Linked DNA regions of Alligator mississippiensis. The protein of the gene in region 1 binds, or shares a complex with, the protein of each later gene. Links are inferred from orthologs where the notes say so. Each region holds a gene or a part of one and is shown on either strand. Other genes may lie near its edges.

Region 1 (9,792 bases):
CGTCAGAGCTTGTCTCCCTGACGTGAAAGAGTGGGGGGCACTGCTTTTAGGCAGGCGAATGAGCCATAAAACGCTTCTTTTTTTTTTGTTGGCGCTGTTTCCCCCTGCCCGGGCACAGGAATTGCAAAATAAATTTTAAAAAAGTCAAAAAATATTAGTGTCAGAAGTGGGATTCGAACCCACGCCTCCATACGGAGACCAGAACACCCGTCTGCTACGGAAGACTGCTACGCCTTGAGTCTGGCGCCTTAGACCACTCGGCCATCCTGACACTGTGCTACATTGAACCGCGGGGAGCGCCTTAGTGTCTTACTGCGCACCTGTCACCCCCGTCACTGATTTCCACAGCTCTGCGCCGGGACTGCCTCCTGTTCCAAGGCGCTTCTACCCGGTCCCCACCCGCCGCCCTCCGCTGCACAGCCGCGCGTTTCCCGAGCCCTGGCCCAACACTACATTTCCCAGGCTGCCCTGCTCCTCTGCGCATGCGTGGCGGGCGGCGACTTCCGGTTGGTCGCCATTTTGTTTTTCACCGTTAGCCAAGGGCGCTGCTGCGGGACCGGTTTTTTCGCCGCGATGTTGCCCTGGGCCGGCGCCGCGCTGGGCCGCACGGGTGAGCGGGGCCGGGAGGGGGACACTCCTGCCGCGGGGAGAGGGGCTGTGAGGCCTGGAGGACGCAGGGCTCGTGCTGAGGGCAGACCCGGGGGTACATGGTTGCAGCGCTCGTCCTGCCCGGTCTCGCAGCCCCAAGCCGGGCCTGGCATCGGGTCTCGGTATGCAGGTTGCTGCCCCTCTGGGCGCCGCCTCGTCTGTTGCTTTGAAAAGCAAAAACGATTAAAAACTGTTTAATATGGAGAGAGGCTGCCTGGGGTCGCCCAGATGCGAGCAGGGCTGCAGGAGGGCTCCCGCGGGGGTCGGTGGTGTAGGGACACAGACATGGTTCATGGGGAAGATGAGATGTCTTCTATTACACCGCCTGCATCGTTGGGGAAACTGTTCGTTGCAAGCTTTGGGGCACAGACTGAGAAGGCAAAACCCCAGCAGACTCTCCCCGTGCTTGAAGGAAGGGTGTTTGTGCCCCAAAGCTTGCAACGAACAGTTTTCACAACGATTTAGTTGGCCTAATAAAAGAGATCGCATCTTCCCAAAGAAACCTTGTCTGCCTCTTTCAGCATGACTGGCTTGTCTTCTGCTGGATGTGGCAGGATGACCGTTAGAAATAAATGTTAACGTCTGAAAGCCCTCGGATTTCACAGGTTCCGTAGACATTAGGGCTGGAAGGGACCTCCTAAAGTCATCGGGTCCGGCCCAGGAAGAGATTGACTGCGTCATTAGGGTGCATGCAGTGGCAGGTTTTTTTTCATACTTATTCAAACTGAATCTTATACCAATGTTTAACTTCATACGGTGTTTAGGTTGAAGTTACAGGTGTTCTTGGAATGTTTATTATGGTGGTTTTACTGTAAAATAATAATAATAATAATAAATCCAAACTGCTGAAATGTTCCTGGAAGAATATATAGTGCTGGTAACAGTTCAATAATCCATAGCTGCTTATTCTTGCCTACTTTCTACTTCCCTTGAAAGCAGGTTAGCATTGAGGTTGGCACTGAAAAGCCTGCATGCGTGTTTGGTATTTTTGTTTCCATTCTCCTTCCCCTTTTCTTGCTAGCTCAACCTCTCTTGTTCAGTGTGTGTACCTTGAAGCTAATTCGTGCTCCAGGATATCTCACTGGAGCCACAGATAGAGAATGTTTTGTTTTGTTTTTTTACTGAAACAGCATAGAATTAACATTAAATTGAAATAAAACTTGTCACAGTGGCACTGAGTGGGCACATAAGGGGAGAGTGAACCCCCTTCCCCCCTGCCAAATTAGTCCTTTCACTAAAAGCAGGACTTCCTATTGTTATTGCCCCAAGAGCTTTTTACCCAGCACAACTGCTGATATGGTCTCTTCCAAAGCCATTTGTTTGGACCTCACGTTTACATCTGTATCTACAAAAGAAAACAACAAATCCTGCAGTCCCCAGCCCCTCTTCTTGTATCTAATTCAGCATTATCTGCCCCACAGTACTAGTACTCTAGTTACTTCTAGTAAAGTTTAAATTAAAGGTAGACTTCCTTGGAGTTCATGACTGATCAGTGATCATTCACAGTTATGTGTTTTAGTAACTGAAGAAATAGTGCAGCATTGGAGAGTGTAAAAGGAGATAGCAAATGTTCATTTGCGTGGAGGATTCTTGAATTGTACTTCTTATTGAGATTTTTAAAACTATTCACCAACAAAATGAATTAAACTGATTTATTTGAATAGAAAGCATCCTTGTGTTTAGTATATCCATCTCTGAATGGGTGGAGCTTCCTGGAGAGCTGAGTATTTTAATCCATTTGTAGATCTCCCTTTGAACCTTACATTTATTTCTTTTAGCTCGGGACATTTGGAGGATTTCAGCAAGACAGGTTCATCAGAAACATGAACCTGACTTTCATGATAAATATGGAAACATGGTGCTAATTGGTGGAACTGTATTTTGCCTCGCTGTGTGGACATACGTAAGTATTGTGTAACTGGTACCACTGATGGGGGTCTGATGCAAATGTAGCCCTGATCTTGCAAACTGATAGTTACTTTAAGCATTTGTCTGTGTGGTACACAATGCAAAATCAGGGTTTCAGAGCTTCCTAAAAGAAAATGACTTATGAAATAATAGTAGAAATGGAAGAGATTTTTAAATTCAGGCTTAGACTTGACATTCAGAGTAACTGTCTATTGAACACCTATTTTATTGCCACTTAGAAATCTTGGTTAGGAGGGCAATGTAATTAAACATGAGCTAATAAGTGGTTTATTTTTATGTACTTTCATGTAAAAAGAAAAGATGTTAAATTCTCAAATTCCCTTATTTTGATTAAAGTAATGGGTAGCTATATTATAAGAGAGATGTATTATTCTAATGCTGTTGCATATGCTGAACTTAAATATATGGTTTGGGAAAGCAGCATGTGGTTTTAAGTTAGAGGACTATACATCTGGTTCTTGCACTGTATAATATTACAAGTATGAGGTGGATCTTAAGAGAATTACTACATGCTTGAAATACAAATTACTCTTCTAGTATAGATATATTAATGCTATTGCTATAATAAAGAGTGAATAAAATTGTTAGGTTTGATGTCTAAAAATGTACTACTAGAAAATAAAATGACTTCAGTGTACTCTCCAAGTTGTCTTCAAACAGCTATTTGAAATCTAACTTTAAGAAAAACAGAATTTGTGTCAACTGCTTTATGCAGCTAACTTAAAAATATGGGTTTTTCCTGACTTAAGGGTACATTAATTTCTTCTTGTAACTTTATCCTCTTCCAGGCGGCAACACAAATTGGAATAGAGTGGAATTTGTCACCAGTTGGCAGAGTCACTCCAAAGGAATGGAGAGAAGACTAGCTTTTGATTTACAGTGATTAAAACCCTGAACTGGTGTGGATTTTCCATTAAAACATGCTTATGTCATATGTGTAATTGCATCCGTTTACTGATTGCCATGTACCTCATGGCATTACTGGTATAATAAATGCATTAAACTCCTGTTTCATCTAGTTTGTTCCTGTCCCATATTTTATAGTAAGAAATGTTAAGCATTTTGGTTAAAAAAAAATAGTTTTTTTTAAGGGTTTATTTCAATGAGGTCCATAAAGAAAACATGCATAAATAAGTGTTCTAAAACATGTTTTTCTTGGATCCTGTTAAAAATAGACATTTATGGACCCAATGCAGGGAGATCTGCCTTAGTATTGGGCCCACTCCGTAATTGAAATTGGAGCATTGGACTTTACCATGTAAAATGCAGTGCATACTAGTTGTACTTTTCTCTCGTTCATGAAGTGGGGTGGTTTCTCTATTTCCTATCAGTAGTTTCTAAGCTGGGGTTGTTACTCCAACAGCAGTTCTCTTCGAAGAGTTGGACTTGCACTAAAAGTAGGCTTGCATAATTGAAAAGATTAGGAAGTGCTTTTTTATGCCATTTTACTTGCACAGCAGTCTTGAAGGCTTCAAGGGACATTGGTCACTTAGTTATTGGAGCTAGGAATATAGGTACCCTATTTCAGTCTTCTGCTTAGAGGGGCTTGGTTATAGAATCCTAATCTGCTAGTCCCACTTTCTGTGCCTCCTCCTGATGATGACTTTCAGTGTTTATCCAGTAAAATATACTGATGTTAATTCTGCAGTTAGTAAATGTCTCTTTAGTAACTAGCATAACAAATAAGTCAAGCAGTTCTCTTTGACAAAAGATGTGCTGTGTTATGGAGCATTATTTGAAAACAGACCACTTCCTCTGTCTCCAGAGTTGTAAAAATGCAAAAGCATCCTGCAGAACAGTGGTAGTAACTAACTCTACAAGAGACAGGACTTTGGCTTGCTGTCTTTCAGTACTTAAGACTGTAGGGCCTCTAGGCTCCATAGTAATGCCTTTTGATGTGCTGAATCTTACTCTACACCAGCCTCTAGAATAAACGGTTGCTATTTTGTATCACCTATGCCTTTAAAAGCTCGTGATGACTGGATAATCTAATTTAGTTTTTGTCCAAGTACATTGAACCACATGTGACATCCTGCTGCACAAAGGCACGTCCTTGTGTAATCTAGCTGCAGACGGGATTGCACAAGCTGACTGCAGCAGGCTTTTTATTTTGCAGCTATGTACAGGTGGGTGACAAAGACCTCTACTGGGTATTCATTCCCCTCCTGCTGTCAAAATGATGTGGCTGAATTTACAAGCAAGTACATTTAAGTGATGCTGTAACCTGTATCCCCCAAAACATTTTGTACAGCAAAGGTCTGAGACTGCTCTAGAAGCCAGGGTTGTGCCAAATTATATGGAGTCCTTCTGGGAGGAGTGAGCAGAACCTCCTCCAGGCTGGAGGGAAGATCCGGCACTCACTGGGCGCAGCTTTGAGCCGGAGCAGCAGGCTGTAAAGTTAAAATGGCACCTGGATCCGACACACTGTAACACGCCGGGCTGCTCCCGAACCAGGCTCGTCAGCGACAAGGGCTTCATCAGGCACCTGACCAGATTGCTGATGCACGCGCCGTGCACCACCAGGTGTTTGCCTGCTCCGGCCGCGCTCGCATCTTCTTCGTCCCTCGGGTCCCGGCGCAAAGAAAAGATCCTGCCACCTCCCACCCTCCCGTCTGTGCCCAGCTCCGCTTCCTCTGGCCGGCAGGGAAATACTTCGGGGGCCACAAGCGCCCCGCCCCGCCCCGCCCCCGAGGCCCGCGATTCTGTGCGGGCTGAAAAACGCGAGGATCATGTGAACACCTGCCCGTCACGTGGGTCCGAGTCACGTGACGCGGGGCGGGCGGGTCCCGACGGGGGTCACGTGGCTGTGGCCCGGCGGCGTAGCAACGAGGGCGGGGCCTGGGCCGTCCCGGGCCGGGTTATGAGGAGGCGCCGGCGGCAGCCCCCGGCGCGCGGCGGTGGCAGCGGTAGCAGCAGCGGGTGGTGAGTGCGGGTGCGCCCTGGGGCGGGGGGCACGCAGGGCTCGGTTGTGTGGGCCCCGCGCTCAGCCCCTGCAGCCGGGGGGGGGTCTGCCAGAGCCAGGGGGAAGCATGAGGAAGCGGGAGGCCGAGCGGGGTGGCGGGGATGCTGGGTGCTGGTTGCGCTGAGCGTGGACGGGGGTGGTAATATTAGCAGTGGGCCTGCGCTGGGACATGGTGGCAGCAGGATGAGCTGGGCTCTGTTAGTTCCTCTTGCAGCAGCTGGTGCCAGGGAGCGTCCTTCGCCCTGGGGGAAGAGCAACTTCAGGGGAAAACATGGGTGATGTTGAGATGCCTGGAAATGCCGTCGGCTTGGCAGGGGCCCCAGACCTGAACGTCCCTTTAGCGCTCGCGTCTGGTAGCTGGATGCCACAGTGACTGGGCGCTTCTCGCACGGACAGATGCGCCGAGCGATTACGGGGAAACTTGCTTAACAGGAATAGTCCCAGTATAAACTCCGCTTCCCCAGGACGCCTCTGATAAGTGGTAGTTGGTGCCGAGCCAGGCGATGCTGCCCAGAAGACAGCTTAAATCTTGTATATCTCTCTTGATTTCAAAGCTTGTTATGTAGGAGATTGCTAATACTATCCTCGTTTTAAAGGGGGAGAAATCAGACATAAGTAGGGTTGCCAGTCCTCCAGGATTTCCCTGGCATCTCCAGAAATTGGATATAAATCTCCAGGAGATTGCTGAGAGTCACCCAGAAGATAAATGATAGGGTATTCGTTAAAATAAACATTAAATATTGGATCCGATTTATACAGTAGTCCAGCGGGTTTTTAAAACGTAATAGTTGTGTGCACTTGCTTTCCTGATGTCAAGTAACTTATGTCATTATGTCAAGTAATGAAGCCTCCCAGAATAGATTCAAACAGAGGTGGCATCCCTAGACATAGGCTGGGTTCTTTATTTTTACTTTGCACTTGTGCATTTTGCTTCAAGCAGAAACCCAGAGAACTGTTCTGATATAAGATTTGCTGACAGACACAAGGATCAGTTCCTTCTTGAAATATAATACTATACATTGATTTATTCATAGATCAACAGATGAAGAGCTTGCATTTGCTATCGACCCCTTATTATTAACTAAACACAAAAAAAAATCTTGTCAAAGAAAGGATTTGAATGCAACATGACACTAAGTCATTTTGTTCAATGACTCGTCCTCTGAATGAGGACAGTCACTTCATTGGAACAGCAAGGTTCCCACTGGAACATCCTAGTACTCAGCTGTAGCATGGCTATGTTGTGTGCACAGTTAAGATCTCAGCGTTTCCACAATAAACATTTCTTACAAGTTTCCTGAGCAGGGACATAATTTTATGACCTTTAGAGCCAGACATGATGGCAAAAGAGAAACAGAATATGATCTTCTACTTGTATCCCTTTTGTTATCTGTGGAGGGGGGATAATTGGATAGTCTGACTTCTGCCCAGTTCAAGCAGATAGCTTTTCTTAAACTTAATGGGCCCATATCTCTAGCCAGATGAAGGCACAATGTATGTGTGTGAATGCTTCAACTCCTGTCCTTCTTTGTTTGCCAGTGATCCTCATTTCTGAACTGCAACAGGTGATGATGCCCATCTCAATATAACAGGTGCCTTTGTCCTACATCAATCTAATGATAGTAGTGAAAGCCAGGATGAGACCTCCCCCCTCCCCAAATTCACTTAATCAAATTCTAATATCAGCCCTCTAGTATAGAAAGAGTACTGACATACTGAGTGGTAGGAAATATCTGCCAGATAATCAGTCTGTTATACAAAATACAAAAGGATTAACCTCAGTCACATGGACCATCTTCTTTCTTCTTGTCTGAGTGGCATCTCTAAGAGGGATATTTTTCCAATGAACTGAAGTCAAAGGAAATTGAAACTATTTAATACTTGACAGCTATGGCACCAAAATGGACTAATCACATGTTTTTTCTCGAGTCTCTCCAGCAGAGTGGCTTAATTTGCAAAAGAGTCTTGCAATCCAAGCTCTGCATTTTTTTTTTTTAGTATTAGCACCATATTATAAAAGCCACATACCACATCTTTTACTTTCATTTATACCCCCAATTTAGGATATTTAGGTAACTTGTTAACAAAAAAAATCAGTGAATAAATATCCATTAGACTCCATATACACATCTATACACATGTATTTATTGATTTTTTTTTAATTATTATTATTACTATATAGAGGTATTAGAGACCACCAGGTTGAATTTGGGCCAGGTTTGTTATTGCAAAATAAAAATTACCAAACCCAAGAGCAACTGAAATATTTCTATGAAGTTGAAAATAGAAATCAAATGGAAATATATTTTCTAATATTTCCAAGCATATGTTATATCACTCGGCTGATGTGGAACTTAACCAACAAAAAGGTTCAGTATCAAACTGGGTGAAAAACAGGAAGTAACAAAATAAAATGTGAATAGTGATTGTACCATTCAATTAGTGAATGGTATGCAATTCATCAATACTGTCTAATTGTAGTACGTTTAATAACCATTACAAAGGATTTTAATCTCATAGGTCAGCTAGTAGTGGCACATGGCAAAGGCACAGATACTTTGCATAAAGGTCAGGCAAGCATTTGCATACTCTTACTATGTACAGGATAGTAAATGGGCTATTTATTACATTTTCTAGAGCTGTAATACCCTAAGACATCCCTCCTTAGACTGTAATACTTGTCCTCTATCTGTGCTCTGGGAAATTGCATACAATTCTCATTAGCCAGAATGGTCATAGCTCACATAGATCTTTCATGCAGTCACTGGAGAATAGACCTCTGCATTTAAACCCAATTGCATCATTTTTTTTTCTTTATTAATTGGCAGATGCTACCTCCTCTGAAAATTTGGGAAGTTCCAGAAGACTGACGCCCAGTTTAATTTTGTAAGGATATATTCTAATCAGGGTGGGGGGGAATGTATATTTTGCATTAAAGTGTGTGTGTGTGTGTATTTGCACTGTTTCTGATATGATGCAAAATAACTCACGTGGTTGACAGAACTTGGATATATTTAATGGAAACTGTCTGTTGTTTGGATTTTTATCAGGGTAGTATTGATGAAAGTGTGTATGACAATTGTTTTGGACAAATTTGTTTAATGAAGTTGGATAAGAAATAACTTTTATATTTGTGCAAAGGTGCTATTAATATTAGTAAGACTAGTTGAGACCCTATGGTCTGGATGTGATCAGGGAATGATAATTAGTTGCATATAGAAGAGAGAGAGCGCACTTTTCTGCAAGTGTTGAACAGATCAAAGGAAAGCTAATGTAACTTGTAACTTACTATTCTTGCTGCTCTTGTGTTTTTTTTTTTTTATTGATGCCTACATAAGACACGGCACATTGTTCTTGTTAGTATTCTAAAGCTAATCTAAAAAATAAGGGGTTCTTTATATACTTAGTGTTTGAAATGCCATCTATTTTTAATGTTACGGATATGCTTAATAGTACAGATACGACAGTCATATTCTCCAAAAATCTCCAGCTGCCATTGTGTGTGGTATTTGCTGAGAGGATGGAGGGATTTGCTATGAATTTTCTTCTGGTCTTATTAAAGTCTTGTTTGGACTAAAGTAAAATATTTTCCATCCATCCTTTCTAGCACCCATCTCAAAAAAAAAAAAAAAAAGAACTAAACTCCTGAAAGATACTTCCTACATCCATCTGGTGTGGGCAAGTCTTGGTAAAGTTTTAAGCAATACAAAATAGACTCATTTGAGGGTCTCAAATCCATCTTAAATGTGCTCAGGGTACAGTGGTTTCCCCCCCCCCCCCAAGGGTTAAGCCTAGTTATGCTTCCGTATACAAGAGAAATGCATGTAATCATTTGTTACTGAAGATGACAAAGTTCCATGAAATTACTCTTACTGGCAAGAGTTTGGTATAATTTTTTTCCTTAAGTCACCTTGCTTCTTTAGCTTTTTGCTATTGAAAATAATAGATTAAAACATGATCAGCACCCTGGTCCTAGCAAGACATGTACTTTTCACCAGCCTGGTAAGATGGCTTGTATGCATATTTTTCTATTCAACACTGCCCATTTTTTCTCTGTGATATTATTCCTAATGCATCTTTGGTTTTGCTAGAATATAAATAATAAATATGTAGCAGGAATTGCTAAGCTAGACATTCAGATTTGGAACAGGTAATGATCTAGTTTAGCAGTTAGGATAAGGATCTAAGAGTTAAATCTTATGGAGTCTGTTTCCAAGCACATGTGACCAGATGAGTCTGACAGCCTTTTATTA
Region 2 (10,134 bases), on another chromosome or scaffold:
TGTATTTGTGCAGCCAGCTTCATCCCGACAGAAACGCATCTGCCCCGTGTTCTCCTACGTGGCTTACATCTTCCTGCTTCTGTATTGGTTACATCCAGTCCTAATGTAAACTCACCTACCCAAAGCTTACACAGAGGAGACAGGCGTGTAACCCACGAACGCTAATATTTAATTCCACAGGTTTGAAATGTATAAATTAAATGAGGAAAAAAAAAAAAAATGACTTCAACATTCACGTTTGAAAAAAAGGAGCAAAAAAAAAAAAAAAAAATGCAGCTGAGCAACCAGAGCTCAGTTCCTTTGGGGGAAAAAAAGGTATCTACCATGCATGCTTACGTCCTGCGCGGTATTTTGGAAGTGGTTTACGAAGTCTAAATTTGTGGGAGATGGAGCAAGACCCCCCGATACGTGCACGTGCAGATAGTTCGGTAACCACTCAAAAGAAAAGCTTAAAAGACATCAGATCCTGCCTAATTCCCCCCCCCCCCCGCAGACATCCTATTGCCCATCTTCGTCCCCGCCTAGGGCAGGGGGCCGGACCCCACCATCTCGCGAGGGCCCTTCCAGCCCCCCGCAGCCACGGCTGTTTTGCCACGAACTTTTGTAAGGCAGCACGCTTGCGAGACGTCACGAAGGAGAATTGCCACCGTGCTGGGTGGTGGGACACAACAAACAAACAAAAAAACCAACCCAGGGAGGTTTCGAACCAGCGATCCCAGCGAGTCTGGTTCAACCCGCTCCTGCCCGAAATCCGTTTGTAGGGAAGGTTTTTTTGGGGGGAAAAAATATATATATATATATATGTATATAGATTAATTATATGGATAGCTGCACAGAGAGGTTGTCGCTATAGGTACGTGGGTGTGCAGGCAGGTGGGTGGGTAGTTAGACGGGGGGAGGTAGGTAGGTGTGCCGGTCGGTAAGTAGGCGGGTGTCCTCGTGCGGAGCCGGGCCCGGCTCTTCCCCGCCCAAGGCCCCTCGTGCGCGGCCGCCGCCGCCATCTCTTTCATTCTTGGGGCGGGAAGAGGCGGACGTGGGAGCGGGACTCGCGCCCCTCCCCCCCCCGCTCCCTCCCTCCCCACGCGCGAGGACAAAGCTGGGCCGCGACCCCTCCCCCCGCCCGCCCCACCCCCGCGCGTGAGGGGAACGCGCCCCTCCCCCCCCTCCCGGGGCACCAACCGCCGGCGGCAGCAGGGCCGGGCGGCGGCGCTGACCTGCGAGCGGAGCGGGGCCGGCAGCGGGAGGCGTCGCTTCAGCACCGGGCGACGAGAAGCACCTCACGCAACGGCGTGCTCCGGCACCGGCTGCTCCCTATATAGCCGCGGCGCAGCCTAGCCCCACGGCGGCGCCCACAGCCAATGGGAGGTCGGCGACTTGGCCCACTCGGAAGCTGGTTGGCTGGCGAGTGGGCAAAGAGGCGGGAAGGGGGTTGAGCGGCAGGCGAGCCGCCCTACGGAGCGGCGGCGCTGTTGGAGCGGCCGGGCGCGCGGAGCAGCCAGTAGGAAGCCAGAGGGAAGCCGTGGAGGTGGGATAAGGCTGGATGGATTGGCCGCCCGGCCAATAGGGCGACGCTCCCATCGCCATTAAGGCGCAAGGGTCAGTCAGGACGGGTTGCCGAGTGCGGTTGAGCCGTAGCGATCAGCCCGTGGGCCTTCTGAGGGAGACCCCGTGTGGAGGCAGGGGCGGCAACCCTGGCGCGGCTCAGCCAATGAGCGCGCGCGCCTGCCCGTGATCGATAGGCCGCGGGCTGCGGCGTCTTAAAGGGGCCGCGGCTCTGCCTGCTCAGAGCGCCCCCTACTGGAGGGGAGGCTGCACGGCTGCGCGCTGTCCCAGCCCCACGCGCGACCCGCAGCACACTTACCCCACGCGTGATTTTCCCCGCCCCATTAATTTTTCCCCATGCTGGTTTTCCCAACCCGGGATTTCCCCCCACCCACCCACTCACTCATGAATTCCCCCTAATGCGTACAAGACCCAGCCCCATCTCCCTGCAGGGCTGCTGCAGGCCCCCCACGCCCGGCCCAACACGCACCTTCCAGCCTGCAGAGCCTCGGCGGGCACCCACGGCCCCTCCGCGACCACCCCCATGGCCCAGCACGTGGCTGCCATCACTTCTCCGCTACAAAGCGGCAACCAAACAGATGCAAAGCCAAGTTCCCCCCGCCTAAAAACGTCCCCAGTCCAGGGTGGAGCGCTGCACCCCGGCCCCAGGAGCAGCACGACGCGGGGTCTCACCTCTCTGGCCATGGGGATCGCAGAGCTTCCCCGGGCACCTTCCGCCGGTGGCATCCACCTGCTCCTAGGAGCTCCTCCAAAAAGGCCAAGTCTTCCTTCCCCGTCCACGCGCATTACCCCGTCCCCACCCAGGCACCCTCCAGAGAGGGGGTCATATCAGACCCCATAGCAAGGCCTCGTCCCGAGCCAACACACGGGTAGAAACCGTCGTGCAAACCAGCGGTCATCGCTGGACCGCCGGCGGCAAGCAGAGATGCTACTCCCCAAGCAGCTTTTAGCCTAGGAGCGTTGCTGGACTAATTAGCTCGAAGCAGTGGTAATTACCCAGGGCGTTGCCACATGCTACCCAGGTTTGGGACAGCAGGAATCAAAGGCCACGGGAGGACAAGTCATGGAAACCGCCTCCCCCATGCTCTCAGGCAGGGATTCACAAGGATGGGGCTGGCCTTATGCCATCCGTGGCATGAATACCCTCCCTTTCTGCACCCCCCCCCCCCTTGCTATTTATATACTGAGCTGCATTGCGAGCCGCCAGCTCATAAATCAGAGGCACAGGCCCCTGCTGAGTTTAATAGGAGGCAAGTGACCGCACAGGACAGCCACGTAACAGAGCCCCCCTCTCTCCGCCGTGCAGGGGGACCTCGGTCACCCGTCAGAGCGCAGAGATCCCTGCTCCCAAGTCACCTCTCCCTTGCAAAAGAGCCGGATCAGTGCCTCCTATTAGAGCAGTGACCAGAGGCTGCGGCAAAACAGCATCCAGCCTGACCCCTGTGTTAAGGAGACTTGGTGTTGTCTTCCAGGTGGGATGCGCTGCTGATGCCCCCAGGGAGAAAGCAAGTTTGGGAGGGGGCACCTATTAGAAATGGGTATTTTTCCAGGTTTGTGGAACAGCTTTGCTTGCTGTAGGCAGCAGAGCGTGAGATATCTGGTGATTTTTCCACCTGAGATACGGGAGAAAGGGAAGTTTGAGCCAGGCATGAAGTAGACAGCTGCTGCCTGTGACTTCCCCCTCCGTGCAGCCCTGCCGACATATTTCCACCCTGACCTACTGCACTCCTTTGATCCCTGCTCCAGGCCCCCCGCACCGCTCTGCCGACGCTCCTCACTCCAGTCCTGCAGTGACCCCGCTCTTCCCAGCCTCGGCTCCATCCTTCCTGGGATCTCTGCACCCCCACGGGAAACACCTCTCTCCCCCGCACACCTGGGACCCAGCTCCCACACGCTCTTCCCCTGCTCCGCTTCTCCAGGGGGATAAGCAAACACAGGGGCCAAAAGCAGACTGCTTCTCCCCACCAAGCAGAGACCGCAAGGGAGTCCCTACAAAGACTGGGACACGGACCCTTCACATGGGGCATCGACAAGACTGTCACCCCACACAACACCCCTATAATCTCTTAAATCTCATGAGCCGAAGCAACCAAACAAAGCCCAGCCAATGCCTCCCAGCTAGCCTAACGCAACCAGCTCCAGCCTTATCTTCACAGCCATTTCCCTTTCCCACTCCCCCATCAACCTTTGTATCCCACACTGATATTAGCCCTTTAATCATGCTATGCAGGGCAGCCTGTGCTAAACTGAATCCCTCACAGCTGCCAAGGATCCACATCAAACCAGCTGCAAAGTTTCTGAATCACCAGCCTTTCAAACCTCTTTGGCTCACATGGCTGCCTTGACCCTCCCCAATTCACCCCCCAACACTCAAATGAGACTTTATTTTCCCCAGCAGACTTTAGCTAGGAAAAATTCAACCCCCCCCCCAAACCCAATCAAATTCCTAGTAATTATTAGGCACACTTGACATCAGCTTTAATCCATTTCCTAATTAAGAGTGGAAATCTTTTGTTATTTCTTTAAAAGAAAAAAAAATCCCTTACCTTTCTTCCAAAATTTTACCAGCTCTGGCTCATTACCCCCATGGGGAAGGGAGGAAAAATATGTAAGTGGGTGAGGCCCTGCAGCGCTATCAGGTTATCCGAGGTAAGTTCCTCCAGCCAAGATGAAACCTAAGAACCACACGCCACCCCCCACAACCTGCTAATGAAATATCTTCCATCCCAGGGAGCGGGCTCACTTATAGTGTAGATTAGACTTGCTTTCAGCAGGGTGAAATAAAGGGCAGTTTGGTCTAAATCCTGCCTCGTCGGATGTGGCTCATGAACCTAGGATGGTTCTTGCCACCCGCGTGACTGCAAAAAACACTAGTTGTATTGCTTCTTGCTGCACGGTGGGCATGTCTTTCCCGGAAGCACCAGTAACGCAACACCCCCGCACCCACTAGCAACGTTAACTACTGCACGGTTGGCTTTTCCTCCTCTTTCGAACCAGAGAGTGCAGCGATTCCCTCTGAGGGCGTGCGCTGCTGTGGTTCTGAGCAGCGAGCGCTCTCGCGTGCAACCCCCGTGCTGTCCTGACACTTGCTGCGGTCTTTCCCCTCGGTTTGCCCTACTTCTGTGGGGGCTTTCCTACTTTTCCTGAAACCCCGTGTTCCTGGGAGCTGCAGTATTGCCACCTCCCCAGTGTCAAAAAGCAAGAGACAGACTCTTAAAAATCAAGAGATTTGGAATGTAAATCATGAGATGCTGGTTTTGAAGTGTGTGTGTGTGTGTGTATGTGGGGGAGGTGTTATTTGTGAAGGTTTGGGTGGGGTTTGGAGCCAACGGGGGGGGGGGGGGTGTCCCTGTACACCTTGGCAGGATGTGGGGTGCTGTAGGGCAGGAGTGAAAGCAGCAGCGGGGCTGTGGCTTGGGAGTGAGGGACACACACACACATACACACATGGCTCTGTTGCATGGGGAGGCTGTGGTTTTGGGAGCAAGGGTCCTTGATCTGCCCCCCTTTCTTTCCCCCCCATAGACTTACCAGCTTGGCGCTCTCTACTCGGACCAGAAGAAAACAAACCCCTGAGATTTTTTCTCTCTAATCAGGAGATCGTGAGTCACAGTTAATATGACTTGGAAAACAGGAGTCTTGAGATTTTTTTCATGAGAGTTGGCATTACGGGAGCTACGACCCGGGGGGACAGGCACCGAGGAATCGCCGCCGTCAGAACGGCCTAGAGGGACAGTTGCGTGGGCAGGGGACACATACTGCGCAGGTCCGGGGTACGGGACAGCCCGGTTCCTCAACCATTGCACTTACACCCATTCCACTTCACCAGGCCAGTTCGGAGCCGTCCAAAGGGGGATGCACTTTTTATGTAATGAAGGTGGCTGAGCCTGGCCTGGCGGGAGAGAGGGGCAGAGATGCACCACATGTAGAGGAAGGCTGCAGAAGGGAACTCCTCCCTGATTCACCCCCCTCCCAACACACGCACCCACCACAGCTCCATTTCGGGAGGAAGGGATGCTTCTCTGTGGACCCAGCCTGTGCTTTTGCCCAGGCTATTGGCATTGTGGGCTGCCACATGGGTCTGGGAAGGAATTGGTTTCCTTTCTGCTGCTATTCAGAGGTGGGGATTGCGACTGAGCTGTGCCAATGCTCCCGCTGGCACTCAAACCCGCAGGCTCCCGGCTACAGGGTCCTGTCCCTGCACTCAGGATGTTGTTTTGAGTTTTCTTTTAAACTTCCTCTATGCTCTTCATCTCCGCTGTAGCACATTGCTTTTAGTTTCTTCTGCAGCGGGATAATATAGCAGTCCCCCCCGGAGCCCATCACTAAAGTTTCTAGCTACTCTTTCCCTGGAGAAAAACAGGGTTGCCCTCTCTGCCATGCCATCTGCACCCATTTGTCCAAATCCTAGGTCTGCCCATGGGGTGAATCTTAGTAAAGGAGGGTGGGAAGGGACCTCAAGAGTCCCCCCCCCCTTCCCTAGTCCAGGCAGGACCAGCCCCAACTCCATCGTCCCAGCCAAGGTGGGTCTTCAACACCTCCAAGCACGCAGACTCCAGCGCTTCACCGCCCTCCTGATGTCCAACCTGCTGCAAGATGAGCCCATTGCTCCTTCTGGCGCCTGCCCCCACTGAGCCCAGCCCAGCCCAGCTCCGTGCTCTTTGCAGCCCCCCCGGTCTCCTTGGCGCACTGGTTTGGCTGGAGCGGGCGCAGCGCGCTGCATGCAGCAGCCCGAATCCGAATCCGCTCCGGCGTCCCCGCGGCTGCAGCCGGGCAGGAGGCGGAGTGGAGGCGGAGCGGGCTGAGCTCTGCCCCGGCCCCGGCTCCGCCCCGGCGGCCTGCGTGAGCCCGGATCCTGCTGCCGCTGCATCGCGGAGCCGCGCCGCAGCCATGCCGGTGGGTGCCTGCGCCGGTCCCGATCCGGATCCGAATCCGGACCTGGGTGGGGTGCGCATCCCCCCCCCCGTCCACCAGCTGGGGGCTGGCAGTGCCCGGGACCCCCCCCCCCCCAGCTTGCCAGGATGGTGCCCACGGGTTGGGTGCAAGGACGGACCCCAGGGCGTGCAAGCATCCTTTTGGGAGCTGCCCCAGGGGCAAGTCTTAAGGAGGCAGAAGCAGCGGCTCGTCGTTAGCCCCGAGCGATGCCAAAGGTGCCCAGACCTCGCTTGAAGGATGCCCCACCATGGCTTGAAGGATGCTCGGCGCCCCGCCGCTCGCCGAGGGGTCTCCAGGCAGCGTCAGACCTGCCCAACTTCCCGCAGGGCTCAGCGGACCCCGGGCCACCGTGTCTCTCCTTGTCCTGCCTCCACGCGCTCGGCTCTGCTTCGAGGGCGAGACGCTTTCCCTCGAAACGGGCCGGGCGATGTCGTGGGAAAGTCGGTTATTATCCCCGATCGTGAGCAGACGGCCCGTGTGGGAGAGCGGAGAGCCGGCCGCTTTCCTTTTTAATAGTTGTGCTGTTACCGGCATCTCTACCAGGCAGCCGGGGTCCCGTTTAAGTGTGCCCAATCGGTCCGTGCAGTGCATGTATAGGGGCGGGATTATCGGTTACGTATACCGGCAGCCGCAGTCGTGGCTTGCAGCTCAGCTGCAAAACAGGGTCCCTTCCCAAAAACTCTTACCTAAAAGGAGGCAAGACGTGGTTGCAGACAGGAGCGTGCGAAAACACGATCATGTTAGGGCAGTGACGCTCAGCCACGGGGATGTGGCACCCGGGGTGCCTTGAGATCCTTTTCGGGGTGTTGTGGGGTTGCAGTTGGCCGTGCACACGATTGGCACGATAAACCCAGAGTTTTCCGGTAGGAATTCATGGTGCTAAAACCGTGCTGCCCTGCTGCGGTTTTGCTGAGGCCTTTGCAACAGAAGAACGGCTCTAGCAGTTTTGGGCAGTCAGAAAAGGAGTGAAAAGAAAAGCTGGTCTTTTCTAGCAAGCCTGATGAGGGGTGCCTCCAGCCTAAAAAGCTTGAGAACGGTGTGCAGAAACCTGGGTCGATGCTGAGAGTCCCCGTGTTGTGCCCCGCGGGGTTGCGGCAGGAGCCTGTTTTGCTCTCCTCTCTCCTCTCTGGAGAGGAGCAGCCTTGCGCTGTGAGCTGCAGTCCCAAGGCAAAACGGGCCTCATTGCCGTCTCCAACCTCTCCTCCTCCTCCTCGTTTCAGAAGCACGAGTTCTTCGTGGACATGACCTGCGAAGGCTGCTCCAACGCGGTCACTCGTGTCCTGAATAAGCTGGGAGGTGAGTGGCACTGCGCCAGGCCTGGGAGCCAGCGGCGGGTTGCAAAGCGTGGCAACGAACTTGCTGCTGATGATGATTTACATCCCAGCCTAGCAGCCAGGTGCAGAAGTACCAGGGGACGAGTGAGCCACGTGGAACGGGAGTCCTCGCGCCAAGCCTCTGCTTCCTCCCTTCTCCTTGGCAGAGGCTGGTGCAAGGTCCCTGCTCTCCTCCCTGGTGTGCACTCTCCATCGAATGGCACCCTGGACCAGGTTTGCCGGTGCAGAAGGAGGTTGAGGGTAGCCTCAACCTGTTACCTGGGCACATCCAGGAGGCCCCAGGGAGCCTGCTGGATCCTCTGCATAGAGAAACATGCCCAAGCACATCAGCATCTCCAGGTGTGAAGCAGAAGCCGTAGGAGGTGTTCACACAGAGAGGGAGAAGGAGAAGGGGATGGGAGCTGGTGCAGGGCAGTATTCAAAGCCTGCTTGCTGCACCCCTCCTGGGAGATCGAGCCCACCCCCAAAATACATCCCCTCGCCAGGCCTGAGGAATGGGGCAGCCCTGGGGTAACCCCTGCCCGGCTGCATCCCCCTTGGGCTCGGGAAGGAGTGCAGAAGTGGGTGCTGTGGGTGTAGCATCCCCCAGAGACTCACCTTGCCCCTCACTCTGCTGCCGTGGCAGGTGGTGAGCCAGTAACTAATTATTAATCTTGCAGCAGACTCCCGTGACCCTGAGAGCGGTGGGGGAGGAGGGCAAAACTGCCTCGCAACAACAGGAAATTCCAGTCCAGTTCCTCTTCTTGCAGTGCAGGGCAGCTATGGGCCTCGGGACTGGCTTGGGCTACAGACCTGGTCCCGAGGGCAGGAGGAAAAGCCGCTGATGCCCCAGTGCAAGCGCCAGCCCAGATTGCAGCCAGACCCAGCAAGGTCCCGAGAGGGGCAGGTTGACCTGTCCAGCCCGCTGATCAAAGAGGCTGCTTTCCTTCCTGCTCCCAGAAAGCAACCCCACCCCTTCGTCTTGGCTCAGGGGAGGGCCCTGCCAAGCCAGCGGCTTTTCTCAGCTGTTCTGCTTCGGTTCTTCATGCAAGCTGACCGGGCCTTTAGCTGGAGAGCTAGCCCGGCAAGGAGAGAGCTTGCAGCTCCTACGTGCAGGCTGGCTCCTCATCCTGTATGCAAGACCTGGGGTGGTTTGGTTGTGCAGAAGCCTTCTGCCGAGCTGTGTTTACCGTGAGAGCCGGGCTGCGGTCCCCGCAAACCAGGCAGCAGTCCGGTAGAAACGAGCCACATGAAACTGGTAATCAATGAGCAGAGGCAGCCCCGATGCCGTGGAGAGCATGTGCGGCGAATGCAAATGCAGCCCGGACACCTGGCTCTCGCCGGGCCTGGTTGCACATGCATGCTTCTCTCTGGCCGGCTGCGCTGGAGGCAGAGCAAGACAATACTCTGGTTCCTGCCAGCTGGGAGACAGTCCATCCCTCTGAGCCTCTCACTGATGTAGCAGCTTGCTGCACCAGAGAGTGAGGAAGGCCTTTGGAAGGAGCAGGAAGGAGCCTGGCTACTCATCTTTCTTGCCTGATGGGACTTATATGGGGCCCCAATAACACATGTCAGCTGGTATCCCCAGTTTCTGGGGATAGTGTTTTTAATTAAATGCATGCCCTGGCTGTTTTTGAGATCCCTGCTGCTACAGAAACCAAGTTCCTGTGTTCAGTCTCGAGCCCTTGTTCCCCTTGGCCAGCTGCTTTGAACTTCTAGTTGTTTCTAAGGATGTATCTGTGCACCAAAGGGACAAGGATGTCTAGTGGTGAGAGGGACGGAGCTGGGCTTTGCCATTTGACTTTGGGGGAAGGCCATATTTGCCTGTGTGCCTCAGTTTCCCCACCTGTAAAGGGTTTATTATTGCAGAATGCCCCCCCTCCCCACTAGCATTTCCCAAGTAGACTCGGGGAGGAGATGGAGGCTGAGGGGGTCAACCCTCCAGTGACAGATGCTAGAAAAGCCTGCCTGTGCCTGCTTCCTATAGGTAGGCGTTGTGGGGATTCAGGCAAGGGAAGAGACCGTGGGAGAGGAGAGGCAATAAAGAACTGCAATTGAGGGGAATTGCAATAGAGGGAGATTCAGAGAGACCTCAACATACTGGAGGATTGGGCCAAAAGAAATCTCCTGAGGTTGAATTAGGACACATGCAAAGTCCTGCACTTCGGACAAAGCAATCCCATGCACCGGTGCAGGCTGGGGGTGACGGGCTGGGCAGCAGCTCTGCAGAAAAGGACCTGGGGTGACAGGGGACAAGAAGATGGAGATGGGTCAGCAGTGTGCCCGTGTTGCCAAGAAGGGTAAGGGCATCCTGGGCTGCATC

What was found.
Region 2: the proteins of ATP7A (region 1) and ATOX1 are in contact, whole or in part, in an NMR structure (PDB 2K1R), measured with the Homo sapiens proteins. The link is inferred for Alligator mississippiensis from reciprocal best matches to the Homo sapiens genes ATP7A and ATOX1. Residues at the interface, in NP_000043.4 of Homo sapiens: Cys19, Asn20, Ser21, Cys22, Trp24, Thr25, Gln29, Asp67, Asp68, Met69, Gly70, Phe71, Asp72; in NP_004036.1 of Homo sapiens: Thr11, Cys12, Gly13, Gly14, Cys15, Ala18, Arg21, Val22, Lys25, Lys57, Thr58, Gly59, Lys60.

What each region holds. Positions count from the first base shown.
Region 1 is NC_081831.1:66,215,662-66,225,453, forward strand, and holds the start of ATP7A (copper-transporting ATPase 1), read left to right. Parts: upstream 1-5,394; 5' UTR 5,395-5,499; intron 5,500-8,367; 5' UTR 8,368-8,425; intron 8,426-9,792. Other genes in the region: cytochrome c oxidase subunit 7B, mitochondrial, read left to right, coding at 574-610, 2,427-2,551, 3,366-3,443. UniProt on the Homo sapiens protein: ATP-driven copper (Cu(+)) ion pump that plays an important role in intracellular copper ion homeostasis.
Region 2 is NC_081832.1:75,765,461-75,775,594, reverse strand, and holds the start of ATOX1 (copper transport protein ATOX1), read left to right. Parts: upstream 1-6,359; 5' UTR 6,360-6,453; coding exon 6,454-6,459; intron 6,460-7,718; coding exon 7,719-7,794; intron 7,795-10,134. UniProt on the Homo sapiens protein: Binds and deliver cytosolic copper to the copper ATPase proteins. May be important in cellular antioxidant defense.